Saccharomyces cerevisiae S288C: one gene and its partners. Changing the gene in region 2 together with the main gene of any one other region gives a genetic interaction. Each region holds a gene or a part of one and is shown on either strand. Other genes may lie near its edges.

Evidence for each region.
Region 1: mutations in DUN1 (region 2) and DDC1 together harm fitness more than expected from each alone (negative genetic interaction), as found in Saccharomyces cerevisiae (5 studies listed by BioGRID, with this or other methods).
Region 3: mutations in DUN1 (region 2) and BLM10 together harm fitness more than expected from each alone (negative genetic interaction), as found in Saccharomyces cerevisiae (5 studies listed by BioGRID, with this or other methods).
Region 4: mutations in DUN1 (region 2) and CLB5 together harm fitness more than expected from each alone (negative genetic interaction), as found in Saccharomyces cerevisiae (9 studies listed by BioGRID, with this or other methods).

Annotation. Positions count from the first base shown.
Region 1 is NC_001148.4:176,371-182,977, reverse strand, and holds DDC1 (Ddc1p), read right to left. Parts: upstream 3,702-6,607; coding exon 1,863-3,701; downstream 1-1,862. Other genes in the region: pheromone-regulated protein PRM3, read left to right, coding at 1-323; RSA1 (Rsa1p), read right to left, coding at 430-1,575; APL5 (Apl5p), read right to left, coding at 3,957-6,607. UniProt on the Saccharomyces cerevisiae protein: Component of the checkpoint clamp complex involved in the surveillance mechanism that allows the DNA repair pathways to act to restore the integrity of the DNA prior to DNA synthesis or separation of the replicated chromosomes.
Region 2 is NC_001136.10:279,807-283,692, forward strand, and holds DUN1 (serine/threonine protein kinase DUN1), read right to left. Parts: upstream 2,043-3,886; coding exon 501-2,042; downstream 1-500. Other genes in the region: DNA-directed DNA polymerase delta POL3, read left to right, coding at 1-359; guanine nucleotide exchange factor GET3, read right to left, coding at 2,306-3,370; BUG1 (Bug1p), read left to right, coding at 3,613-3,886. UniProt on the Saccharomyces cerevisiae protein: Transducer of the DNA damage signal. Phosphorylates SML1 on serine residues. Cooperates with the PAN deadenylation complex in the regulation of RAD5 mRNA levels and cell survival in response to replicational stress.
Region 3 is NC_001138.5:120,306-131,812, reverse strand, and holds BLM10 (proteasome activator BLM10), read right to left. Parts: upstream 8,335-11,507; coding exon 1,903-8,334; downstream 1-1,902. Other genes in the region: VTC2 (vacuolar transporter chaperone), read right to left, coding at 1-3; Rab family GTPase SEC4, read right to left, coding at 832-1,479; cohesin subunit SMC1, read right to left, coding at 8,707-11,507. UniProt on the Saccharomyces cerevisiae protein: Associated component of the proteasome that specifically recognizes acetylated histones and promotes ATP- and ubiquitin-independent degradation of core histones during DNA damage response.
Region 4 is NC_001148.4:770,281-777,813, reverse strand, and holds CLB5 (B-type cyclin CLB5), read left to right. Parts: upstream 1-2,631; coding exon 2,632-3,939; downstream 3,940-7,533. Other genes in the region: B-type cyclin CLB2, read right to left, coding at 4,686-6,161. UniProt on the Saccharomyces cerevisiae protein: Required for efficient progression through S phase and possibly for the normal progression through meiosis. Interacts with CDC28.

The DNA of each region.
Region 1 (6,607 bases), on a different chromosome or scaffold from region 2:
AACTGACAGATGCAAGTTCAAACTCTGCTGATGGGTTCGTTATAAATAAAGCCAAAAACGGTGGACCGCTTAATAAAAAGTCATTAGTTAATAATGAACAACACATTAAGAAGGCTGTGTCGCCTGGTAGAGTCAGGAAGCACAAAACGACAACATCTTCCACAAAATCACGAACGAAAAGTAAGAAAAAAGACGCTTCTGAAAGTAAAGTACAGAGAGAGAATAAGGGTTCATTTTACCAAGGTGCCATTTTCGGTTCGTTCCTTGGTGCTGCTGTAACTACTGTTTTAAGTAACCTAGCAGTTAAAGCTCTTCAAAATTAGTTTCATATACTCATGATTTCTAAACAGTAATTAGTTTTATCTGACTTATTTTTTTTTACGCACCTTTGCATGTACTCTTCCATGTATATCAATATTTGCTATTCTATTACTTATTTCTAGTAAAGTTGGCTCTACTCAGATTAGGTTTCCTGTTTTTGTAATTTGGTTTGTAATGATTTTTATTATTATCTTCAGAGCTCCCAAAAAGTACATCTTTTTCTTGTTGAGATAGCTCATATTCAAGTAATCCTACATCTCCCAATTCTCTTATAAAGTCCAAAAGTTGGGAGTTTTCGTTTGCGAATTCTCGCTGTATCAATTTCAAGTTCAAGTCAATCTTCGGATTTCCTCTCTGCACTTGATTTTGAATACTCTGTATAAATTGCTTTTCTTTCCTTGACTCTTTGAAAATGCTAGGTTGGCTCTTCAGTTCATCTTCCTTTATGCCCATTTCTTGCATATGTTTCTGTTTGTTATTGGATATTTTCAGTAGCCACATTTTTTTTCTTTCTTCTCTCCACTTTTTAACATCTTCATCAGTAATCAATGCTATGGAGGTTCCAGGAACCAAAACCACCTTACCCAACCCCTCTGATTCTAACTGCTCATCACGATCATCATCTTCTAGCCCTAAGTTATTATGATCATCTTCGGCATTAGAATTTGCCAGCTCGGGATCCTTTCTTGGGATTTCTGTAGGCTCCGCAGATGCTTGATCCTTGCTTGATGGTACTGGACTTATTTCATTCATAAACGTATCTTTCCCTCTGTTTTTCTCAATCAATTGTATTTCCTTTACGGTCGGTATTGCAACATCTTCATAACTAATTGATGTTTGGTAATCTTTATCATTCTTTAAGGCTTGAGTGTTTTCACAATATGATGATGGCCACTTCTGTAAATTAAGCGCTGGTGCATAAGATATATTCTGATGAACTGGCGGTATGTAATTTTCTGTATAATTGGGAGGACTCGTATAATTGTACTGAGTGGACGGTTGTATTGGATGGAAATATTGATTATGAGGGGCTACATGATGAAGTTGAGGAGTATAACCGGTATTCCATGAACCTTCATAATACGGAGAGTTCGGATACATATGAGGTGAGTAAGCTGCATTAAAAGCAGAGTCTGTTTTTTGCCTTTTAATTTTCGATTCATCATAGCCATCTGATAGCGTTCCGGAGTATGTAGGTTTGGGAAGCCTAGAATGTCCATCACCCTTCGAATTTTCAAAGTTATTATAATTCATAGTCCATGTCGCAATAAGCTAATCAAAATGGAAAAAGAGATTGACTTATGAGTTAAATATAATAGCATCAATGAAATTTTTAAGTTCCTATTAAGTAAAAAGCTATGCAATATAGAGATATTATGCTATTGAAAATTTTAGTTTGTTCCCCGACCGTGATGGACCATCAGCCGCACGCTCACCAAATTGAGACAGAAAAAAAAAAAAAAACAGCGATCGATATTATCATGATAATTGCTACTTCATCTAATATTTACACGCCTTTATACTGATTTTGCATTATGGTTTTAGTCAAATATACCCCTTGGCTTTTCTACTTGTGTTAGACCCAGCCCATCTTCCATCTCTTTATTGTCCTGTTTCTTGTGATTACTTGTGTCATTCTGGGAATTCAACAGACCTTGCATATGCTTCAATTTTTCTTTCTTGAGCATTCCTTTTCTATCGATATTGCTGCATGAAACCTCATCATCTGCAGCTGGTAACGCTTTTCCCCATGTCACAGTGGTGTCTGCCCTTTTTGCAAATGTAGATTGTTGGGTGGGGTCTTCAGTTTCATTACAAATATCTGCTATGGATCTTTTTAAAGAATTGCTCTCATTACGTGGACAGGCCACTTCATGAGTCGTACCAATGTCAAAACTTTGTTCCCGATTCATGTTCATATGAACTGAACTAGCCTGCCGGAACCGCTTATCTTGTTCGTAATTCGTACTTTGGCTTTGTTCTTCCACGAATAATTTTCTTGCCGTGTTATTTCTATAGGTCTTAGCAACTGTGCTTCCATTATCAGGGGTCAGATACGACACTTTCAAAGGACTGTTTCGAGTTCCAGCCACAGAGTGTGGCAGGTTTTCTCTCTTTAAAGCAGTTTTGCTTTTTAATGGACTTTCGCAGCTTTCTTTGTTGTCTTTCAGTCCGGCCTCTTCTTTGGAGCCAGAGATTGCTGTTTTTATGAATTTTCCTTCTAAAATATCATCGTTAATGTTACTGTCAGTAACTTCAACCAATTCTAATTTTACGCCCGGTTTTTGCATTTGCATAAGAATAGGGTCCCCTGGGTGGCAAAACCATAAACTTATATTATCATTTCCGTCCTGGGTAGTCTTCCAGGATGGACCTATCGTTATGAAGTTTTTGAAGTCCTTCAATTTGAATATTATACTTTTCATATGCTCTCTACGCTTACTATGTGATCGCTTATCTTGTTTTTCATCTTCGATTGTTGTAAATAAGCAATAATGCTCAAGATCGAGCGTACTGATAGTGTTACTCATGCTTAACGCATTTCTTAAAAGGTCGTTATTTTTGCCGTAGACGGCCTTGGTGAATGCAGTTATGCTTAGCCTATGTACGTTAATTTCCAATTTTACTTCATCGGTTACATTAACATTGCAGTTGTCTAAAAAATTCTTCAATAAAGTTGAATTACAACAAATGTAATTAATCTCATCAGCAGCCGTTAACTGATTCCTTTTACGTATGTCTGATTCCACTTCTTCGTTAAATAAGGCTGATGTTAGCTCACGCTCTGTATTTGTAAAAACGTCCAATAGCTTAGGGTCCAAGGGCTCCTGTGGATTCCGATCGGAGGCAGCAGTTCCAAAAACATCCAAAAACCTCCTTTTGTACTTAAGGTTGATTATTATGGGATCGTATTTTATTGGCTGGAATTGGGGACAGTATTCTTTGACTATTAACGAATCCATTTCAATCACCACAATCAATCTATTTGCAAGTGATTCAGGACAGGTAGAAGTGTTGTTTACCGCAATTGTGAATGATTTGATGCCATCACCATCCGGCTTTCTTGATATAGTTGTTAGGTGTCTTCCATTAACACGGAAGGAGTATAACTTATGACTATTGCCGTACGTATCTTCTATAACTTGAACCCCATTTTCTCCAAATACAATCTCATGTGGTTTAAACTCATACTCCTCAAAAAAGCTTTTCTGAAACCTAACCTGACAAAGAGTAGTATCTGTCTCGTTCATTGACCAAGCAATTAACTCATTTGTTGTCACTGTAATCTTGATATCATCCTGAATTGTAGATAACACATATATCGCACGAAACCAGATATTCTGCTTCCCCGACTCGGTGATAGTTGCCTTAAATGACATATATGTCTAAGCAAAGTTATGCTGTGTTATTGTTACACTAGCAATAGTATGTCAAATAATTTTGCAAATCATCTCTGGTCTATGATTACCTTTGGCGGCCTTTGATTCATTCGCGTCATTATTAAATATGCCGTCTCTTTCGGCAAATTGAGTGCACCGCAATAATATACTATGCAGAATAAAATACTTAAATTAATTATAGTTTACGTACGTAATCGCTGTCATTGAGAATTCACGACTTCGATTTTTTTATCGTTAAATGTCAGTGCTTTGGTCTCGAAGAAATTCATTTGGTTCTGGAGAATTTTTTGCTTTCGTTTTTAGTTTGTTTTTTGACTTTGACTTTTTCCCTTTCTTCTTCTTTTTTATAACTATAACTTCTTCAGTATCACTTAAATTATCCTTTTCATCTTTTACAATAAGATTGGCCTCTAAACGACTTAATTCTAACTCGTCTTCCTTTCTAAGGTTGCCCTCTTCCTGCGATCCTCTTCCTGCGTTACTCGATTGCCCAAAATTGGAAAAATCAAAATTTTCAAGTTGAGAGTGCATTCTCAGATTAATCTTGTCCTTTTTCAAAGGATTTTGAGTTGAATGATTATCATGGGGTTTCTGGAATGCATCTTTCCTTTTGGGAGCGGCTTCGATAACAGGTTCATCGGATAAGACTTGAACCCTATTTTTCTTCTTTCCCTTCTTCTTCTTTCTGCTGATTTCAGTTGTAGATAAACTTAGAGAATTCAACGAATTATCGGTTCTATTTAATCTAATAGTTTCTGGCTTTTTATCACTACTTTCCTCCTCATTCAAGTCCAACAAATCTTTAGAGTTCTTAGTTCTTTCTTCGTCTTCTTCACCTAGATAATAAGGATTTGACATCCGTTCCTTTTCTCTCTCAATCTCAAATGGATTTTCAAAATCATCCAATTTTTCCTTTTCTTCATACGAAGTATCAGAATCATCAACGAATTTTAGTTCAACTTGCTCGTCCATTGAGATATCAGACATTAAATCACTGATGGCGTCACTTTTTTGTTCATCTAAGAGTTCATCAGCTGCCTCCTTTGTCAAAAATGGAGTTTCTAGATCAAGATTCTCATCTACTGCTAACTTCAATTGAGTCCCACGCGCAATTGGTGCGAGTTCATAGGCGTTAAAAAAACTAGGCAGGACTTCGCTCAGTAGCATTGGTAGACCTTCCGTATCCTCCTCTAAAGCCTCCAAACTTAGTCTTAAAAATTCTAAAACTTCTACGCTTCTTTCCTGGACTTCGAATGTACTCGAATAAGATAAATTTTCAAAAAATTCAATTAGCTCTTTTAACACCATTTTAATTTCAAAGCGTTTATCCTCCTGAAAGTTATTACACCAATTACTAAATACTTTAACAAGTGCTAAAATTAAAACTTCTTGTACACTATGAGAATAATAACTGATATTCTCAGTCATGATTTTTATTAAGTCGTTACCATTTTCAACTAGGGTAGAAAATTCTCCGAGACACCAAATGCATTCTCTCAATACGGTAGGCAACTGTTTGTTAATATTGTCATTTGAAATAAGCTTTATAATATTAGCAATGGTTACTTCTCTCATTGAAGGAACTTTTATCATCAAATTCCTAAACTGTTCACCAATTTTTGATCCAAGGCTTTTATCAGATATGTCTTGACAGAGCATCGCCAAGTCCATTATTACTGCATTGTACCATTCAAAGTCGTTAACACTGGAATAGTTGTCAGCTGAACAAATCGATATAATGACGTTCACCATTTTTATCTTGTAATTTTCTGGAATTATTATGGGAATTCTCTTTGATTTTTCGTATACGATGCTTCCAGTTTGTAGGATAACCACATCTTCATCTACAAATTGCTTCATCAATGTTTGGACAATTGCCTTTAAGTTATCCTCATCAACAATACCTTCAACCAATTCAATTGCTTTTGATCTTATAGAAACGTCGACATCGGAGAGTAAGCGTATAATCAGTTGGTCGAACCGAGAAATAAAATCAGTATTGATTTTGCCGATCTTGTAAAACAATATGCAGCTAATATATCTCAAATTTGGATCCTGAGAATCACAAAATGTGTGCAATCTTTCCAGGCATGCCATTGCTGTTTCAAAATCATCTTCTTCTAGCATATTCCCCTTGACAATACAGTTGACAGATTCATAGATCACAGAAGTTGCAACAGTACTCTCCATCAGTTCTAAAATTTTCGGCAATAACTTGGCTCTCAATTTCGGTTCCACTTGTGATAAGTTGGTGAATAACTTCAATAATCTAATGATTATCCAGTTATTGTCAATGGTAACTAATATCTCGTATAATAAAGGTGAAAGCTGGATGAATGGTTGGGGGTTTTTTTTTGATAGCTCGCAAATAACACTGACAGCGGCAGAAACCACAGATATATCATCATCGTCTAGCTTTGAAACAAACTTATCAAAATTATCTCTCAAAGCCTCTGGATATTGCAGAAAAACTTTAAATAGTGCGGTAATGGCCTTCTTTCTTATGTACGGTCTTGTGCTGTTTAGCATAGTGAACAAATCATCAGCTATATCTCTTGCTAATGAGGGTGTAATTATAGTGGAAAGACCACTTAAAGCAATGCCAACTTTAACAACATCATTGTTTCCGTCATACTTTAAGTCTTTTTTCAACAAGTTAGTTGCAAGCATCAAAATGTCAGAATCTTTGTAAAAAGATTGTGATGCAGCCAAATACCCCACACGTTTTTGTTGAAGTTTATTACTGCTCATAACCTCTAAGATATGAAAGTTGCACCAAGCCATGTCAAAACCGTACATCTCTAAATAGGTCAATTTAAGAACGGCATTGGTCTTAGAATTTAGATCTGGAGAGTTCACTTCTTCCCGGCATTCACTTAATACTT
Region 2 (3,886 bases):
CGAACGGTATGTTCGTTGTGAAATCCATTAAAATTAACACAGGCTCTCAAAAAGGAGGCTTGATGAGCTTTATTAAAAAAGTTGAGGCTTGTAAAAGTTGTAAAGGTCCGTTGAGGAAAGGTGAAGGCCCTCTTTGTTCAAACTGTCTAGCAAGGTCTGGAGAATTATACATAAAGGCATTATACGATGTCAGAGATTTAGAGGAAAAATACTCAAGATTATGGACACAATGCCAAAGGTGCGCTGGTAACTTACATAGTGAAGTTTTGTGTTCAAATAAGAACTGTGACATTTTTTATATGCGGGTTAAGGTTAAAAAAGAGCTGCAGGAGAAAGTAGAACAATTAAGCAAATGGTAAAAAACGATAGGGTGGCACATCATATTAGGATTAAGAAAGGCTAACAACTTTTTGCATGTTGGTGGATATATATGTATATATAAATAGATACTTGGAAAAATCCAGATTCAAACAATGTTTTTGAAATAATGCTTCTCATGTTTAGAGGCAAGATAATTCTGAGTATGTTTTGGGTATTTTATTGTCAGTAATTTGTAAACGCTGCAATTCTAATGAGACCGAGCTTTGTTGCTGTATGTCATTGAACCAAGGGTGGTTCAAAGCTTCATCTATATTGTACCTTTCATCAGGATTTAGGACCAAAAGATTGGATATTAAATGTAGTACTGAGTCATCGATTTTATCCCAGTACGGAGAGTAAAACGCATACTTAGCTTGTAAGATCTGTTCCTTCAATGAAGGTGGCCCCAATTGATCACTGAATGGAGGAAAACCACATAAACAGACATATAATATGACACCAGCACTCCAAAGATCTACTTTTGATGTGTATCCTTTCTTTGTGAGGACTTCGGGCGCTACATAAGAAGGCGTACCACAAAGTGTGTTTGTGAATTGCATTTCTCCTGTAAATTTTGCTAGGCCAAAATCCGCTATTTTAACTTGAATATCAATTTCATCTTCATCCCATGGGCCAAGTTGGACTTGACTTGGATTTTCGCGCCTTGTTATATTTAATAAGATATTTTCTGGCTTGATGTCTCTGTGAATGATGTTTTGCTCATGCAGATACTTCAATCCGGTAAGTAACTGTTTGAATAGAGCTTTGGATTCATCCTGTCTCAAACATGTTTTTCTGACGATTCTTTCAAATAGTTCGCCATCGTCGATCTTTTCCAGTACCAAATATTTTTGAATCTGAGATTTGCTGATTGGCTCTACAAAACTATCTAGTAAGTTGACAATGTTTGGATGTTGCACTCTCATTAGGATGTTAGTTTCCTCCCTAAATTGTTTATTCTTTTTTTGGTCGTCATTTTGCTGAGCGTGGAATATTTTCACAGCTACTTGCTGACCAGTTTTTTTGTTTTTGGCTTCTTTCACCAGGGCGTAGTGCCCTGCACCTAATTCTTTACCTAATAAATATTTATCAAAGAACGACACAGGCCTTGTCTTATTCAGTTTTCTAATTGCGGCACTCGTTGTAGCATTTTGGCTACTTGTAGCACTTATTTGCGGTTTCTTGAAAACTTCGTCGTCGTTCTTATATGAACGACTTTCTGAACTTACCTTTTCATCGTCATTTTCGATGTCAGTAGAAGATGAAGATGCGTACTTGAACAAAAAGGAGCAACTTTTGCCAAAGACAATTCTGTCACCATTCTTAAGGATGTAGTCTTTCTTCACCAAACGATTACCATTAATAAAAGTTCCGTTTCTGCTCTTATCGATAACATTAATCAAATTTCTTTGGAAATTATCCACATCCATTTGCAGTAGATGAAACTCAGCATGGAAAGTCGAGATGTCAGGCTCACTCAATATAACGTCGCACGACCTACTTCTACCGATTGTAGTAACGTTTCTATTTGTTATTTCCACTTTTTGCTCCTTTCCGGGTATTAAGTTCACCAGATGGCCCAGACAAGTGTATTCTGAGCTGGGCTTATTACTTCGTTGCTGTCTTTTGAATGAAGAGTCAGTTACATCACCAGAGTGCTCTCTTTTCGTGGACAAACTCATCTTCACTATAATTGCCTTTTTTACTGTATGTTAAGCCCCTTTACTTGTTACTCTCGACTATAAAGGGTTCTCATTTCCTCCTTTTTCAACAATATCTAATAATTTTCCAAAATCATTTGAAAAATACCATGGAAATAAAATGGAAAAAAGTAAACAAACGCGTCGCGTCACGTAATTTTTTTCTTTTCACACACATACCATCGTATTACTATTTTTTCTATGGTTATATGTCGTATGTATCTATTTATGGTATTCAGGGGCTTCTATTCCTTATCTTCTAACTCATAAATGACTTTGCCATCAGTAATAGGGTTATATTCTTTGTTTAGGAACTGTGAGAACTTTGTTAAGTTATTTAAGCCTCTGATTTCTCCAGCACATAATGGCATTTTAACGACATGGAAATCTTCGTACAATTCGTCGATTTGGTCCAAGTACTTCTTTTGCATCTTCCATCTTGCCTGACATCTCTTACAGTTGTGCTCTTGATCGTTTTCAGCAAATAATAATTGGTTGACAATGATGGAATTAACGTCCATATCGTAGGAAATCAATTCCTGAATTAGTCTTTCAGTTTCATATAAGGATAAGAATTCACTGATACAAACGCAAACAAAAGTCGTTAGGTCAGGATCCGTGAATTGTTGTCTGATGGTCTCGACATTAGCCTTTAACTCGTTCAATTTTCCAGAGATATCGACATTACCTGCGCCCATAAAAGAGTTTAGCATTGGGCCCAATTTGTTGGTAATTTCACCGAACTTTTCCAAAAGCTTGGATAAAGTATTTGGTAGTTGTAGAAATCTTAATGTGTGGCCAGTTGGAGCAGTGTCAAAAATAACAGTATCGAAGGTTTCACCTTCGCCCTGTTCTTGCCTTTTAATGTGCTTCATGACTTCCATGAAGGATAAAGCTTCGTCGATACCAGGGATGGAACCGGTCAAATCAGCAAGAGCACCACCTTGAAGCAAGCTTCCTAGATCGTCACCTTGACCGTCACTTCCGTTATTGTTAGCGCGTGAAACTGCCATGTCGTTCATATCCTTCAAAGCAGCGGATGGATCGATTTCCATACATGATAGATTATTCATGCCTGTCACCTTTCTGGCGTCTTTACCAAATTTCTCACCGAATGCATCACTTAAGTTATGGGCAGGATCAGTAGAGATCAGTAGGAACTGTTTGTTTGGTTGACTCAAAGCCATTTGGATAGCAATGGAACATGATGAAGTAGTCTTACCAACACCACCTTTACCACCAACGAAAATCCACTTATGAGTGGTAGAGGTAATTAAAGAGTGCAAATTAGGTTCCACGGTTAAATCCATAATTACAATGTGATGATCTTCTTGTTCTTGTCGTACGTTTTCCTAAACGCTGCGTTGGCTTCCCTCAACTTGTTTGAAGTTGCCACCGTTTTATCCATTTTCGCTTTTGAAAAAAAAAAAATGGTTGAGAATCCCCAGCACTATTAATTAGTACTATTGTTACGAAGATCTTGTGATAAAAAAGGGATGTAATAATTTGCATTGAACCAACCTGAATTGAGCAAGTTTATCATATAGTTACAATGTCTGAACAGGAGTCTGATGAAGTTAAGCGTATGAAACAATTGGAAGAGGCTAGAAAGAGAGTAGAAGAATTGAAGAAAAAGAAAAATAAAAAGAATAAAGGTAAGAAGAATAAAAATAGCAGTGCCACAGGCTCTATAGGATCTGAAACTCCTGATTTAGAGGGCACACCAGGCGAAGAGTCCACACAGGAGGAGACTGTGAAAGCAAATTCCACCAAAAGTGAAAACAACGATCAAAATGACGTGGATGAGGAGAGTGAAGAAAAAGAAA
Region 3 (11,507 bases), on a different chromosome or scaffold from region 2:
CATGTCAAAAAAGTGTCGTTATGTTGAGGTGTAGTCGTTCTTTCTACTTTTTTTTCTAAACTCTTTTCGTCTATTTTATCTGTTTATACCTATGCCTCTTTCCCAGTAATTCGCTTCCGATAGAAAAGATAAGACGAAGAGAGCCTGCCTTTTTTGAGGTCATAATAGGATGGAAAAAAGTTGGCAAGAAGAAAGAAATGACTCTTAATGGGTAAGATACCAATTGCTTAAACACTCCATAAAGCGAATTTCGCAGTCAGTATCTTTCTGGAAGTGCTATACCGCAGTGCGGATTCATTTCCAAGCAGCACGTGGGTTTTTTTTTCGAATTGAGTGATTATGCAACCATACAGGAACCTTACATAAGCGCAAGTAGTTGAATAGTGGATTCAAGAAGCAAAACTTTACTACCGGTAAAAACATTAGAACGAAATAAAAGTGCTGAATCTTAAAAGTAAAATATATACTTGGATAAGAATTCCCAGGGAAACTGGGAACCTCGTTTTCCTGTTGCACTATTTTTTAGATTCTTTCTTGATTTTTTACCAATCGCCTGATGAAAATACCTTCCAGAGCAGAGAACAACAGTAGAAGTATGCTGAAAAAGTTAGTGTGAGAAGTTTGAATTGTTTAGATAATATAAAAGTGACATCTAATATGACTAATATAAAAATAGTAAGTATGGTAATCAAAAAAAGATACAAACAATGTATATATATAAAGGAAAAATAACCTGCGAATATTGAGAAAAAGGGAAAAAAGAATCAAGCGATTTATAGCTCTAATTCCAGTTCACGATTAATTCTCAAAGAAGCAAAAATCTTCTTTTCTTCAACAGCAATTTGATTTAGAACTGTTTCCGCTCCCACTATTGATGCTAATATTGCCCTCTTTACCGTTACCGACGCCAACAAGCTTGTTACTGTCGATTTTTTCTTGGATTAACTTCGCCAAGGTGAAAAAAATCTCGTTGACATTGTCATCGTTCTTAGCACTGGACTCGATGAATGGTATACCCAGCTCCTTAGCCAAGGCTTCACCTTGATCAGCTGTTACCACTCTCGTCTCCATATCGCTCTTGTTACCAACCAACAGTAGCTGTGCTTCATCGTTCGCATGCTCATTAACGGTTTTAAACCATTGCTTGATATTAGTAAATGTTCTCTCGTCTGTCACATCATATACAAGAATGATACCCATAGCACCACGATAATACGCTGTGGTGATTGTCCGGAAACGTTCTTGACCAGCGGTATCCCAAAGTTGCAGCTTTACCTTCTTACCGTTGATATCGACAGTCTTTATTTTGAAATCAATACCAATGGTGGTGATAAATGACGGGTTAAATTTGTCTTCAACAAAACGAACCAATAAACATGATTTCCCAACACCAGAATCACCAATCAATAAAATTTTCATAATAGAGTCATAGCTCTTTCCATTACCGGATGAAGCAGAAACAGTTCTCAAGCCTGACATGTTTATCTTGTTATGTTTATATTCTTTCTGGTGAACGATACGCCCTCGTGTATATACAGTATGTCTACTTTTTCTCCTTTTCTTATTCTTCCAAAAAAAAAAGTTCCTAGTTTATTTTCTTGGAATTGCAATAGGTTGGAATAATGGATCACTAAAAGACAAGCTATAGTGGGTAATTCAAGTTTCCAGCTTCCCTAGAGGTAGAATGCTTTGTTTGGTATAACGTTTCCCTGCCGTTGATCATTCTCAGTGGTGAACTTCCAGTTTTCCTCAAAATTGATTTATTACCCGGCACGCAGCCGTGATCATAGTTACACTAACAACTTACTTTTAGAGTAAAACTAATCAGCAGATAGCTCCAGCTATTTGTTTAGATGTACATATATGTCTAGATATGTGCTTAATATCCTATACTAATATGAATCAGGCATAGTAACTTCTCCATAGGACACCCTCCAGGTCTTCCAGTTCCTCCGTATTGAAAGATGCTCTATCGAACTTCCAAGTGTCGGCCCTCACCTTCTTGAACTCACTAATAGTATTTTTGGCAGCTTGTCCAGTCATACCACTAGTCCTGGCCCACGAGGATAAGTTGCTTAGTTGCTTGGGTATCCATGGCGGTAGGGGAAAAACATAGGGGAACGCTGATATAATAGCTCCCAAACCCAAAACGTTACCATGAATCTTGATATCCGTTTTGGATAACTTTTGTCTTTCTTTCGACGTGTATTTGTTGACGTCGAGACCCTTTGCAAATCTCTCGATTAAACTCAACAACGGCTGTTCCTCTTTCCAGTTATGGACGATATCAGACAAAATGGATGCCGCACGAACTCTCACCTCTACAAACTGTTCGTTATACAAATTGCTGACAACAAATTCCAAAATTTTGTTCTTTTCTTCCTCAGTAAGTTGAAGCAGTTCCGCTGATAAAAAGTGTTGGATGAAAGCTAGCTGTAGTTTCGTTTGGTTTGAAGATAGTGCTACATTTGACGAACAAACATAGTCAACAATGGCGGCAACATGGTTCTTTCTGATCGGCATATAGCCCAAGCCGGCATACAATCGAACAGGATCTAAACTGGCAAGAGCACAAACATCTTTATGTTTCACTAATCCGATCAGAAATGGTAAAACATAATCGACTAAATATGGAACTAACAAAACTTTATTAGGCCCTCTCGCCATTTCTTTGATCCAATAAAATATTGTGGATGTCCTGTAAAAATAGTCTGTCTTAATAAATTGTTGAGGATTCAGGCCGACAACGGAATCTTCCAGATTTTTAATGATCTCAAACTGCTTCTTAATATAGGCATCCACCTTTTCTGGGACGCTTTTTAATGGTAACCCTAATCCATCTGGATCATTCCGTTCTGCTTCTAATAATGTGGTTGGATCTGAAATTGACGGATTACTTTGATTTTGAACTAAGGTCGTCAATAGTTTAGCGACAGCCTGGCGAACCTGATCGTATGGGTGATCAAATACCAACTCATCAAATAGCTTACCAACATCTGGGGCTCTAAATTCCATGCTCATCAAGATACTTCTTAGCATGTAAATTTTGGAGGTTTGATGTGTGGCTGCATCAGATTCACGGTCAAACATGCCATCGGCGTTGATAAAATGGCAAAAAAAAGTTTTAGACCTTCTTAAATCAACGACTGCAGGCAACCACCATGCCAAGGTGCTCCAAATTTCAAATGCGTCATGGTTCAACTCATAATCTAAACATTTGGCTAGGAAGTTTTCGATAAAAGTGTCACGTTTGTCCAAGTCAGAGACTGACATAAACTTACTCCCGCAAACTAAGCCAGCCACTATCTCGACAGACATGATCATCGAAGCCTTATCGTCTTTGTTATAGTAGGATTCACATAGCTCAAAGAGATCCGACATATTCAGTTCGCAGAAACCAGATGATATCAAAAGGATTACTAAAGAGAAAAATGACACGTTACCACTACTAAAAACACCCCTAGTTTCATTATCTTGGACTAAATTCATTGTAACATCTCTCAGGAATTCTCTTGTCAATAGATGACCAGCTGTCTTGAGGACTTCCAGTTCATTCTCACGTAAATTGAGCTTTAAAGCTTTCGGCGACATGACGTACATAAGCCTTCCCCAACATAGCCACCCTACATACGCCCTCAAATCGATAAAATACTTGGGGTTATCAAAGTTATTCATTTCTTCAGTAAACGTTTTAGGGAAGCTTGTGGTCGAAGTGTCCAGTATTTCCACAAATGATGGATTGAATTCATTCTTATAGGCCCTGGTGATGTCATATTCATAGTCAGAGAGAGATATTATCTTGTTGCACGTCGACAACAATGACTTTACAACCAAATGTATGATTTCGGGATGTTTTGTGGAGATTTGGGAGATTATTGAAAATACTGCTCTTTTATCGGGTTTGCTTTCGAGGTTCGATTGGATTTGTGTAACAAAACGTAAAATGAACATTCTTATCTTCCACCCCATATCTTTTTCATTATCTAATTTGTCTAAAAGTTTGTCCTGCAAATCCACTAACAGAGAGAGGTAGTACTCACGCTTTTTCTTTTTGGCAAGCTTTACCGCTTCAACTTGCAAATTAATAGTACCATCAGGAGGTGCTAAAGGTAAGAAAGCTTGATCGGAAATGACACATACACTAGAAGGAATCTTGATCCCAATCACTATGTCAGTTAAGATTTTATCTGCATACATACCAATCTCTAATTCATTCACACGACAACATTCAATAAGCAGAAATATCAATCTGCCGATGTCTTTATAATCCGTCATAAGCTTCCTATGGATTTTCTTAATTAACAAAACATTTAAAATAACTTGGATTTTCATATAATCATGATCCTTAATCGCTTTCTCTAATGATGGAATAATTTTATTGATGACTACGCCATATGACCCAACTAATTGTTTCATACAGTGTACCAAAGTTCCCTGTGCTGGTTTATAAATATCAGGATAAAGGGATGTCGCTAACTGTATGATGTCAACTAACAATAGGTTTTCCAGCTTGGAAGCTTTTCTATTTGTTGAATGTAATAGAACTCTACTCTGGTGCAAACTGTTTGCTCTGATTGCAAAATTGGTTCTCGTGAAGGGCTCATTTACGTGTGAGAGAGATTGAACGTTTTCTAGGAAATCAACGTCAATGAAGGCATTTGGGTCTTCATTGAAGACCGTTTCTTGTCCCAGATCTGTGAACCAAACTTTCAATCCGTGCAATAGAATTTGGAACATGTTGGTGTTGTTTTCGAAGTTTGTAGATAAAAAAACATAGAGTTTGTGAAAGAAATGTCCAATGCGCGCTCTAACTCTGTGGACTTGTAAATATTGTGGGTTTTGTAACTTCTCCTCAGTGGTATTTCCGAAGTAATAATTACAGGTGTAAATATCTAAATCCCTGAAAGCTAGATCCGAACTCATAGCTGAATTGTCCGTGCCATGCGTCCCCGCGATAGGGGTATTTACACCAGATGGCATCTCAGACACTACTTCTTCATCAACAATTAATTCATCCGGAAACTCATCTCTTAACTGCACAACATCGGAAACTCCTGCATTCAGCCCTGCTTCAATGTCCTTACTCTCAATATAGTCTTCATCATCCTTGCCAGAACGAATTTGTTCAATATCAATATCCAGTTCTTGAGGGTCACAATTATTTTCGCGTATATTCTTTAATAAAATCAGTTTCTCTCTGTATGATAAGTTTGATTGCGTCCTATATTTGTTAAAATCTGGATCAAAAAGTAAACTTGACCCGGAAAGCGTATGTGTCATAACTAAAACATATTTTTGTATCATATCGCCATATTCGGAATCATGTCTTGGAGCTTTCATCAGTTCTTCTACGTTGTTAATACAGTATTCGGAAAGGCTTTCTAGAATGCTTATGGATAAAGTTATCTCGTCACTAGAAGGTACGTGCCACTGAAAACTCAAATGCTGTTTATCAAATCTTCGAGGATCGAACTGTAGTCCTCCCCATCTGTCTTTTTCCGGAATCTTAGAGTCCTCTGGGAATAGACGACAATCAGTTATTTCGGTTGTACATAGAGTTGCTAAAGCACTGTGAATAACAATAGATGTGATAACATCCAATGGCGGGTTAGTGACGTTGTCGTATAAATATTTCATGAATGTTATCAACTCATCGCTATACTCCAATAGAGATTCATGACATTGCCTTAAGACATCATTTAGTGCAGTTAAGTATAAAACTAACTTAACATCCCTCTGTTGAATCTCTGAAGTACTTCTTACAGACCCGGCGCCTCTTTTGATTTGTTCTTTGATATGGAATAAAAGAGTTCTGACCAACTCTTTACTCAAACCATTATTCCTTCTTACTAAAGCCGCTAGTGGGATAGTAACTAATTCATAGTTTGGATCCTTTTCCTTGAAGGAGTCATTACTCCAGAAGTTTCTCTGTAATAAAGAAGCAAAATAATTAAATATTTTATCGTCCATAGACTCTTGTAAAATCATAGTTGTTTGGTTTATTTTAGTAACCAAAGAGTCCTCTAAGTCTACATCAACCAATTGGAAAATTTTTTCTACGTATACTTTTAGCATACTTTGAAAAACTGTAGTGGAAGCTTTGAAAGCGTTATTTAACAGTTCATCATCAACTCGGAAGGTCTTTGAACTTTCGCCACACTTAATATGATAAAAATGTTGTTGAACTAAAGGAAGAGTATCCGATTCAAACGATATATAATCGTCCTCCCCAGTGAGGTCTTGGATAGGAATGAAAGCGGCTATAGATACAATACCGTTGATGAGGTTGCTTGTCAAATTAGTATCGTTCATATCAAGTTTGGAGACCAGCATCGAAAGGACGTTTGTTATGTGCACGCGATATAGCTTATCCATCACAATAAACCGAATTACTCTTGTAAATTGTTTCAAAGAGGAAATGATTCTGTGTCTCGAATTGATAAATTGGTCAGCCAGCGTATCGTACAAATCTATCAGTATTTTGTCATAAATTAAATATGCATTTGAAGGATCCAGCTCTAACAGATATGCGAAACAAGAGATGTAATAGTTCGCAATATCAGGATTTTTATTCTGTGAACCCAGACTGATAATATTTAAGAATATTTCAACTATCTCTTCGTGACAAAAAGAAGTTAAACATATCCCATTTGTGACGCCCCTAGCACAAATATCTTCTTCATATTTGACCCTTCCGTGGTAAGACTTTATAAATGCATGAACGAATTTAGCATTTGGCTTGGTCCAAAACCCATTATTAGAGGGATGGATAAATGTTTCGATTGCTTTGGCTAAACTTACAAGTTTTTCAAAAAACCTATCTTTTTTTGATCCGTTTATAGCATAAACAAAAGGCTTCACTGTGCGGGAATACGAATGTATTTGACCGTCTGTTCTAAGATGGCCTTGTAACCTATTGAACATAAAAGTCATTTGATCATCAGTAAAAATCCCGAATTCTCCAAACTCCACTCCAACTACATCCTTTTCATGCTCGCTACTCAAAATCTTATTATGAACGTCTTTGGAAATTGACCCAACAAAATCATACATGTGAGTGTCGATGGCCACGTTTGCGCTGACTGAGCTCCAGATGCTATAGCAAAACGGGAAATAATCGATGATCTTAGAATGGATATGATAATGATAGGGCACAACGGATGTAACGATAGGCATGACAGCCATCATAGTAGATGGTGCAAGACTAGACAACAGAAAATTCATCGTATCAACTAACAAACTTTCCTTTGACTTATCGAAAAATGGTTTTGCATTATGTGCATGCTTCAAAAGTAATCTAAATAACTGTAAATCTTCCTTTGATGATAATTCATAACGAGCATAGTCGGGATCTGGATAAGGTAGAAATTCGCACAGGAAATTGAGCATGATTTGATGATCTAGCAAAAGACCTTGTTTTTGCAACAGTTCAGTGAAATTTGTCCTATCATCGTCAAGGCTTACTAATCTTTCGAACATATCGACATGCATTTGTCTATACACCTTTTGGCCCTGAACAAGAGACAAATAATAATAAACTGTCGCTAGCGACTTTCTTAAAGCTACTGGAAAATCAAAATGTAGACAATTTTTGAGCTCATTAGTCCAATGGTTTACATTCACAATAGTAGCTGATTTAGCTGTGATTTTTCCGGTAGCATTAAAGTCGGGGCCTGCTAAGTCGAAGTATTCATCCAATTCGTCCTCCAGGCCTTCCGCATCGTCATAATCAGCAATATCGTTACCAAGTAAGTCATTCTCCGCTGTGTTGTTAGATAACCTGAAAAGATCGGTTTTAAGAGCTAAATCATCCACTTCTTTCTTTAAATCAGCCAGATCTTTACTGGAAATAGAAATCAAACCTTGTATATCTAATGAGCTGATCGCAATATAAAGATTAACTAAGACATGGCACAAGTATTTCGCTTGATCTTCATGACTTTCAGTCTTATATGGTAAGAACTCTTCAATAGGAAATTCAGGCCTCACGGATCTGCTGAACCAGCGAGATGATGGGTCATATATATTCTTCATATGCTGGGCCCTGTCACTAACATAATCCAGCGTATAATGCTGTAGCCTTTCATTCAAAAGGGAAGTGGAATCCATGCCATTGAACAGTTTTTGGTCCTGTAGCGTTGGGGTAGCAGACCTTGCTCTTAGCGGAGAATGTGGTCTTCCGTCTGCGGCATATAGCCTAGACTTTTTACGTTTTATCTCGCCCTGAGAAGAACTGGGCCTTCCTGGACTTCTCTCAAAGCGCTTCAATTGGGATAAGGTCTTGTTAGTAATGGGAATGGGTGATTTGATATCATCGTCATTGTTAGCGGTCATTGGCGGTAACAAATCGAAAAATTAATGTGCAAAGCTAGCTAACGAACAATGATAAAGTTTATGTATGCAAATACAGCTACAATATTCAATGTTCTTCTCGTAGTTTTTGCTAAGATCTAATGCAGCTTTATTATCAAGCCCTGATGACAGACTTTGCAAATATCGTGTACTTCTCCACTGGTAAGAGATGAGAAAGAACTTAAAAAATTCTTTTCTAAGGGATACCTCGGCCGCCACCCACCACAATTGGGTTACCCTGGAAAAAAAGTGACGTTATTAATATTATTGTTACTATGATATTGCACTAGCTAGTTGACCTATATAGATATTATTAGTTATTTGACGGGTTATAGCAGAGGTTGGTTTCATAGATTATTCTGCGTAATTGCTCAAGTCCAAAGTTATGATCTTCGACGAGTTTTCTTGTTGCTGTCTGTAAACCCCAACGAGAGCGTCAGATTTTTCAAACATGGTGTTCTTCAATGAAATGACAATGAATTGGAGATCTGGATTACGGTGCCTTCTTATATAGGCAGCAATTCTCTGGACGTTAGTAATGTCTAGGGCTGCGTCCACTTCGTCCAGCACGAAGAAGGGACTAGGCTGGTAGGAATTAATAGCAAATAATAGAGCTAATGCAGCTACGGTTTTTTCACCACCAGAAAGATATTCCATGTCTTTGAATCTTTTAAGAGGCGGAGTGGCATGATATTTGATTCCCGCATTGAACGGTTCATCTTCGTCTTCTATGGTTAAAGAAGCGTTACCACCGGCCAATTCCACATTGGAGTTGGGATTTTTAGTAAGTTCCCTGTAGATTGCGTCTAAATGGTCGCTCACATAATCAAATGTCTTTTCGAACAGTTCCTTTCTTTTTTTCTTAATTTTTAGGAACTGGTTTAATATTTTCTTTTCTTCGGCCTTTAGTTGTTCTGTTTCGTTATTAATCACTTCAAACCTTCCTTCCGCCTCGTCGTATCTCTCCAAAGCTCTTGCATTGGGCTGCAACTCGTTCAATATTTCCTCCACTTCATGAATCTTCTGCTCCAGCTCCTTCCTTGCCGAATCGGTATTGTTTTCTTTGTATTTTTTAGGTAGTCCTTTATAGTTTATATCGATACTGTTGGAAATTGTAATTGCTTCATTATCAGTGGAAGATATTGGTAAATCATCTATCGTTGTTTCAGATGATATAGGTATATTTATATTAGAAATTTTACAATTCTTTAACGCTGTTACTCTCTCTAAATCAAACTTTTCAATATCTTCCTTTATACCGTCTCTTTCCCTTTTTAAGACTTGTAAGTTGCTGTTCATGTCCTCTAGAATATCTTCGCTGGAATTTAATTCACTTTGCTTCGTTACAAATTTCTTCTGTAACTCATCTAAGTGATTTTTGTGTTCTTCCAATTTAGACTCTATTGATCCGATTTTCATTTCTATTGCATATTCCTGTTCTTCCAAAGACTTCATTTCAACTTGAGCATTCTCTAAATCCTTTTGCGCCTTTTCATATCTTCTTTGAGTAGTACTTAGTCTGTCTGTCTCAAACTGCAACTTATTTTCAACGGTCAAAATTTGTTTTTGTAACTGCTGTAATTCTTTAGATTGTTGTCTCATCAATTCACCGGAATGATTTTCATATTCTTTGATTGTAAAGCCAATTTTACTAGTGAATTCTTTGAAAATATTATTTTGTAAAGCCTCCTTCTCTTTCACTAAATTATCTTTAGTATTTTCTAAATCATCTAGCTTCTTCTTTAGTTCAGTTATCTTCGGTTGAATTTCTTTCTCTATCAAGTCATTATGGTACTTAATCTCTAAACGATTTTCATCCAAGGAGCGTTTTTGTTGTGTTACTTGAGTTCTCAAATTTGCTATGTCCGAGTTCAATAGTGAAACACTATTTTCAACTTCTCTTGCTCTGATTGAATTAGAGCGTTGACCGTTGGAAAGTTCATCGATTTGGATTAGTAATTTGTCTTTTAAAGACATTAAGCTTTGATATTCTTCTTTATCCCACCTATTATTGGCATCTCCTGATATACCACCTGTCATCAAACCGGCCTTGTGGATCAAAGCACCTTCAATTGTAACCAATTTGCCTCTTATGCCCTTTTTCCATTTCAGATCTTTAGCAATATTCAACGTATTACATATGATGGAATCGCCACACACATATTGCATCGCTTTTTCATATTCCGGCTCGTAGTCAATAGCATTAATTGATAAAATATAGTCTTGTGAGTCAGGCAATGATAATGTAGGTAACTCTGTCTCAATTGTGTCTAGTGGTATGAAAGATGCAGTGCCCGCACGTTGCTTCTTCAAAAATGCAATGCATTCTTGAGCTACGGTTAAATTTTCTACAATGACGGAATCAAAGTTCTTACCTAAGATGGTAGACACTGCCAAGCCATATTTCTCCTTTTTTGGGTGACAAAGATCATGAACAAGACCTTTTACTCCGGGGAAGAATCTTTTCAACATTGCTATATTTTCTCTTAGTTTTCTTTCTTTCATTGTTTCTCTTTGATTAGCACTCAAGTCATCGATCTTAACCAACGTTTCCCTCAACTTGAAATTTAAGTCGTATTCTTGATTATTAGCAGATTCAATATCAGATTGTAATTTTTTCAGCTCGTGCAAACGTTCAGTATGAAGGGCGTTTTTCTCATTCAAAGAAACTCTTAAATCGTTTAATTGCGTGTCCAATTTTTCTCCTGTTATAGAAAGCTCCTCCGTTATCCTTCTTTTAGAAATATCTGCCCTTTTGTTGAATCTCTCCAATTCCTCTTGGATTTCTCGCTTATCGTTGTTCAAAACGGCAATTTTTTCTTCTAGGATTGACCCACCTTCAGTCAGATATTTTTCATGTAAGCAATTATATGTCTTTAAATCATTTTCATTTAGCTTGAATTTGTCATAGTTTCTAGCAGATTGTTTGATTTCCTCTTCAAAAGCTTCCTTTGATCTGGTCACCACTTTTAGTTGTGTTTCAAATCTCTCCACATAAGTCTTCTGTCTTTGAAGATCTTTCTGTAAACTTTCGATTCTTTTTTCTATATGGGAAATTCGCTTCCCTGCTGCCTGTTGAGGAACCTTTATGAGCCGTAAATCCGAGACTAATTTTTCCTTATCCTTGAAGATATAATCTAATTTACTTTTTTGCT
Region 4 (7,533 bases), on a different chromosome or scaffold from region 2:
ATTATGTGAGCCGAAGCGTAGGAATATTAATGTAATAGAATCAATAAATGACTGTATATTAAAACGAAGAACGAAAGAATTTTACCACTTTGTAAAATATTAGATTGCGTTGAGGGGCTTGTGGTCACCTGTCATAGGATGCCTATGTTCCCCCCAAAAATTTAATTCTGAAGTAAGTTTTTGTTGAGTACTTCAACTTTATTTCCTTCAATTGTGAAATGTTGATAACTAGCATCTATTACTATCCGATAACGCCAGGCGCCTTTATATCATATAATTAAGACACAAAAGGATAAAACAAAGGTGTTAACTATTCTGCATACTCACTATCGTAAACTGTCCTGCAAATCGTGTAAATATGTATTTCATTTTTTTTGCAGTGAAAAAAGGCATGTAAAATACCGCATCAAGTAACTCTACTCCGCCTGTGGTTTCAAGACTAACGGCTTGAGACAAAATGGGAAGAAATGATTGCAGAAAAGCCATATGTGTAATAGCAAAAAGCTGGATAGTGCTTACCAGATGTTTACCTTAATTTCTTGGTGAATTAGAGAAGTACAGAAGTTTTACTATTAATCCCACCATAGAAATTTGTATAGGAAAGTAGTTTATTGGAGTTATTGGATATACTGTGTAAACTATTTCTTGAAATTGTAATCTTAAGATGCTCTTCTTATTCTATTAAAAATAGAAAATGATTTTCATATTTATTTATTTATTTATATTTTGGCATTACTCTTCATCATTTTTTTCCCTCTAAGAAGCTTCCTTTCTTTTTATAAGGATAACAAAACCAAAAGGAATATTGGGTCAGATGAATGGACGCGAATGCAAGACAGAAGTCCAAATCACGTCAAGACAAAGAAAGAAAGAAAGAAAAACTAACACATTAATGTAGTTTTAAAATTTCAAATCCGAACAACAGAGCATAGGGTTTCGCAAACAAACTTAAATATATGCTAGAATAAAAATTAACTATCATCTATTGACTAGTATTCATATATGACGTAATAAAATGAAATGTAGATTCATTTTGTAGATTCCTATATCCTCAGAGAGAATTTTTGGTATATCCTATATGCATAATATTATAGTCTTTGCCAACAATCGAAACCAAACATATATCTTAAAATACACCACTTTCTCAAATAAATTCGTTAAATAACGGTGTGTTGAAATGTTTACCGTAACTTGTAACAGCTCTAACAACTCATACCTGCTATGTACTGATTCCAAGAAAAAAAAAATGGAAGGTCGGGATGAGCATATACAAGCACTAAGAAGAACAATACAGAACTCTACACGGTATTATTGTGCTACAAGCTCGAGTAAAACCGAGTGTTTTGACGATACTAACGTTGTTAAGAAAGTAACTTGTTATCAAACTCATTACCAACTTGTGATTAATTGGTGAATAATATGATAATTGTCGAAATTCCATTGTTGGTAAAGCCTATAATATTATGTATACAGATTATACTAGAAATTCTCTCGAGAATATAAGAATCCCCAAAATTGAATCGGTATTTCTACATACTAATATTACCATTACTTCTCCTTTCGTTTTATATGTTTCATTCCTATTACATTATCGATCTTTGCATTTCAGCTTCCATTATATTTGATGTCTGTTTTATGTCCCCACGTTACACCGCATGTGACAGTATACTAGTAACATGAGTGCTACCGAATAGATGACATTTTAGACTTTCATTCCAACAACTTGGTTGACAGAATGTTACGTACCCTATATCTAATCTATATGAGGCCTGAATCTAACTGAAAGGTGGAATTTCAGTAATTTATCAAGCTTTAATAAGTTTGGGTAGTTTAACTGTGCAAAAAGGTATTTACCTTACATACTGAATCTTGTCTGTTTGGTAGCGGCTGCTTTATGGGTGTTTCATAGATGTCCAAAATATATTGAGATATTGAGATATAACATTCTAGGATAATCAAAATTACCATAATTCAAAAGCTCGTATGGCGCAGTGGTAGCGCAGCAGATTGCAAATCTGTTGGTCCTTAGTTCGATCCTGAGTGCGAGCTTTCTTTTTTAGACTACTAATTTTATTTTGCTAGTCATTTTTTTTTTATACTCAAAAAGTAAAAAGACTACGAGTATATTCAAAGTAAAAAACGAACGTCAAACTATCTCGATTAAAACTTGTCATACTGTGGGTATCATATTCTGTGCCCTCAGTGAAAAGAACCAGCAAAAGAACGCGCATCTCGAGTGAAGACGCGCCCTTGATGGTACAAAATTTAACGGGAAGGCGCGTCGTGATGTTCACGCGCTTTGCCCACATTGGGATAGCGCCCACAGCATATCTGTGCTAAACTCACTTTTCCTAGTGACTGCCGATAGCTACTGCCATCTACCGCGAAGGGAACTTCATTTGCGTTCATCGGTTTATTAGAAGCTACTTGGAACTAATTCTTAAGCTTCTCAAGAAAAGTTTTTTTTCTGTCTATCTATTGAAGTCTTTTTGTCTTTGTACTTCAAGAGACTCAATCACCTAAAGCTTTTCACGGCCAATTAGTTGTCTCACACAAAGCAAAATAAGCTTAATAATTAGCAGTAACGCGCTTTTCCCTGTATTTAAAGCCGCTGAACACCTTTACTGAACAATGGGAGAGAACCACGACCATGAGCAGAGTATTAAAAGAAATTCTATGATTTATAATGAAAATGAGAGGCAGTTGTGCAATTCAAACCTAAAGATTCTTCAAAATAAAAGGGCCCTTTCAAAAAATGACAGCTCTAGTAAGCAGCAGGTTCAGGATTCTAAACCAAGAAGGGCTTTAACAGATGTACCAGTGAACAATAATCCTTTAAGCCAGAACAAGAGAATAGTAGCAGGGAGCAAGGCGGCCAAAGTACGAAGAGAAGAAAACATTAGACCTATTGTTAGCGCCGTTCAAAAAAGACAGATATATAACGATCGAACGGCAGCAGAGCAAGAAGAAGAAGAAGAAGAAGAAGGAGAAGATGATGATGCTGCTTCGATAGTGAACAAAAAACGCAGAATAGACGCTGAAGGAGTGAGTGAAATAGTAGGCTGGCAGGACCTAGATTATGTTGAAAAAGATGATACTGCAATGGTAGCAGAATATTCTGCTGAAATTTTTGCATTTTTATATAGAAGAGAATTAGAAACGTTACCATCGCACAACTATTTACTCGACAAAACGTCCAAGTATTATTTGAGGCCTTCCATGAGAACAATATTAGTGGATTGGCTGGTAGAGGTGCACGAAAAATTTCAATGCTATCCGGAAACGTTATTCCTATCCATAAACTTAATGGATAGATTTTTAGCTAAAAATAAAGTTACGATGAACAAGTTACAATTATTGGCAGTTACCTCACTTTTCATCGCGGCAAAATTTGAAGAGGTAAATTTGCCCAAACTAGCTGAATACGCTTATATCACTGACGGCGCGGCTTCTAAAAACGACATAAAAAATGCGGAAATGTTCATGCTCACTTCCTTAGAATTCAACATTGGTTGGCCCAACCCACTCAATTTCCTAAGGAGGATCTCCAAGGCAGATGATTACGATCCGGTTAATAGAAATATTGGTAAGTTTATTTTAGAGTATGCCTACTGCTGCCACCAATTCATTCATTTACCTCCATCTACCGTAAGCGCAATGGCAATGTATATAGCGAGAAGAATGACCAACAGAAACAAGAACGAGCTATGGAATGGAACACTACAGCATTACAGTGGTGGTATCGATCCAATACACGATGAAGCGTTTCAGTCTCTCTGCATTGATCTAGTCAAAGACATCGCTAGTTCCAAAACTCATTTAGATTCATTGATTTTGAAGTACAAGAAACCAAGGTATGGCTCTGTTTATTTCCAAACTTTCAAGTGGTGTACATCCGAAATGCATAGCAACTTTCAAAATCTATTTAATCTTAAGTAGATTAGTACTAGTAATGCTCATGAATTCGCATACTCTTTACATTTTCTTTTCTTTTTGCTGAACTAAAAGGAAAAAATTTTTTGCATCTATCTATCTATCTATATATATGTATATATAGTTTATAGTGATATGCGTGTTCACTTCAACATATATAATACCACCAGTATTACTACTATTATCATCATTAATATTAGAATTTTTTTTGTTTTTAAATTTATTCTTTTATTTTTATTATTATTATTATCATTATTACTATTAAAAAATTATTATTATTAATGTTATTCCAATGTTAATTATAATAACTATACTGAAATAATTTTAAAAGAAATGAAAAATGAGAAGAAAGCAGCATTTTTTAAGAGACTAAGGTTATGATATTTCCCATAATATCAACATCCGATACTGATGCTTTTCTTTGTCTACCCTCGCTACATGCATCCGGAAACGGTTGAACTGAAATAGAATAAAACTTATGGTACAAATCTGAAATTAAAATTAAAAAATTAAAATTAATGGTGTGGTGTTATTAGTGAGAATAAAAATGGAGTTTTATTTTGGAAATCTTAGGCTTCGAATGATTTTTTATCGTCAGTTTAAAAATAACAGAATGAAAGGCGCTAAAATTGGGTGTGAAATTTGTAAGAATAAATGGAAATGTGAAAAGAAATGATTAAAAAGCAGCCATACATTTTATATGGACATTTATCGATTATCGTTTTAGATATTTTAAGCATCTGCCCCTCTTCTCATTCATGCAAGGTCATTATATCATAGCCGTTTTTTCTAACCTTTAAAGCCCATTGGACGGAAATTATAGAAGCTTTCATAAATCTTCTAGATTGATATTTTCTATGAAATTCATCATGAACAATTGGACTCACTAGATAATCCATTATCATGTGACACACGGGCGCAAGTTCTTCTTTAGTATACCCGCCGCTATAGTGTATTAGATTTCCATCCCATTTACCTTTACCTAACATTTTTCTCGACATAAACATCGCAGCTGCTGCACACAATGAGGGTAGTATCCCAATAAATCTGAAATCTACCAATGATATCTCTAATAAGAATTTGGCAAGAGTTCGAGACTGTATATCGTAGTCATCTGCTTTCGAAATTCTTCTCAGAAAATTCATCGGATTGGGATAATTTAGGTTAAATTTCAATGTCTTTAAAATGAATTTCTCCCCTTCTTTGATTTCATCTTCCGTACATGCACCGTCTGTCTCTGATGCGAAATGTTTTATACTAGGAGAATAGACCTCTTCATATTTAGAGGCAATGAAAAGGCATGATGTGCCAACCAATTGTAACTTATCCAGTTGAACTAGCTCTTTACCTAAAAACCTGTCCATTATGTTAATGGCAAGATACAAAGTCTCCGGTAATAAGCCGAATTTATTATGGATTTTAACCAACCAATTAACTAGGATATCTCGATTTTGATGAATATTTCTATGCTGATAGAGATCTTCCTTCTTTGGAAGAGTAATGACCTCTAGTTGGTGGAGATATTCGAATATATCATTGACGTACTCGCTGACCATGAATGGATCATTTACATCTTCTGCATCTAGGTCTTCCCATTCATATTCTTCTTTGCCATTTTCATCGCACACTTTAAACTTTTTGGGCAGTTCTTGTTCAACAATTGTAGAAATTGGTCTTTTTTTTCCACTATCAGTTTCACTTTCGGTATTTCTAACTTGAAGTTGACTTCTAGCTGGATGAAGTTTTTCGTTTTCTACCGAGTTATGGACTACCTCAGTGCTTGATCCAACGCCTTTTAGGGGATCATGCTGGATTATCTCCTTCGCTGAGGAGGATTCTTGTAAACTTATATTTGCAGGCAGCTCAGCTCTCCCCTCCTTTATAGAAGTTAGCGCACCAAATTGCTGACTACTTGGGTCTTGGTTTTCTTTATCATCTAAAAGATTGTTTTTGGGGAGTTGGATACCATTTTCTTTCAGGGTTCTTTTCTCCTCTTGTGCGGCTGTTGATCTTGATACGCTTTCTCTAGTAAATTGAGGAATCCGACTTCCCTCCTTCTTTACTGAGTTTAGTGTAGATTTGAAATTTGTTAGGGCTGGATTATTCGCATTACTCTTTTGAAATGTCGTATTTGTTACATTGTTTAAGGCCAACCTTTGTACATTCCTCAAAAACCTTGATGAACTAGTATTCTGTGAGTTTTCTGTGTTTTCTATTGGGTTGGACATCTATAAGATCAATGAAGAGAGAGAGGGGGTAATCAATAAAAGGCTTCTTGGAAGGAAATAGCAAGTTATAAAAAAACTTCTGACAAACGAGCGAATGAAGTTTTTATACAATGATTAAAATTTCTCCAATGTCGTTAAAAGAATCTAAAAGGACAAAAATACAAAAGGAAAACAGATGCTCAATCAAAGAACCGCTTCAACAGATATTCTATGTCAATTTATTGAATAGCTCGCAGTAGGTTTTTATTATACACTGGCTCAATCAAAAAGAAAGAAAAAAAGAAAGAATAAATAACCAGTATCCTTTAGCTATATTTCTTTCGCTTTTCAGAAGTATCAATTCGAGAATACTTTACTTCTTGAGGTATAGGACAAAATTAATACCAGAAAGATTCAATTTTAGTAAATTTTTGGATCTTTTCAAAAGTCTAGCTAAATTGGCAAAAAATTAACCTAAAAAAAATCTATTTTATTATATTTTGATTTTTTTTCCTTTCTAAATTTTTGAGAAAGGATCTATTTCTCTTTTCCCCAAAGAGGTTATATTTTCCATTAAGAGCAAAATTTCTGAAACTCTATGCCCATGCTATGAGATGCTAGCTGTAACGAGTTTGCTATTTCCTCGAGGGACAGGCACCGAAGTTCATCCATATCGCGAACTTCGTTGTTGACCTTTTCCTGATTCGGTCGCTATATTTACAAATCTCCTTTTTTGATTAGTGCCTTGAACTTGCACTTTCCTAAACGGGCTCAATATGTAAACATATTATACAAATAGTTACCCGCATTTGGAATAAAATCTGTCTTTTGGCGGCTATTTCCGCGTGTTTGATTAGAAGGAGTAGTGGTCATTCTAATAATTCCACTGTGCTAATGCACTCGCACTTAATTTTTAAACTTCCGATGCATCAACACTAATGATCATAGCATAAAACGCGTAGAAGGCGATCTTAAGTTTGAGTCCCCCTAAGGCACCTTAGTAGACGGTCAAGAACAGGGTGTGAATATGGGCGATATTCAAGCGAGATTAGGACTTATAAAACAACAACAACAGGGATAACAAAACACTTGACCCCTATTTTTGTAATAAAACCGTTTTCAAGGTAAGGCAGTTAGTAATTTATGTACAACAGAAATTTCTGCCATTTCTTTCACGACAATAACGTAGGATAAGGCCATGAAAAACAAAAATACTAAAGTGCTTATCTAATAAAAGGAAAGGATTAAGCAGTTCCTGCCCATATTTTGGAAAGGCCGTAGCTTAGTTTCCCTGAAATTTACTTCAAGAAAGGTCTGCTTAGCAGTCACATATGTCAATTGTGGGCTGTTTAGTCAAAACCACTTGGAGGTTGATGAATTGATAGTATTTTGG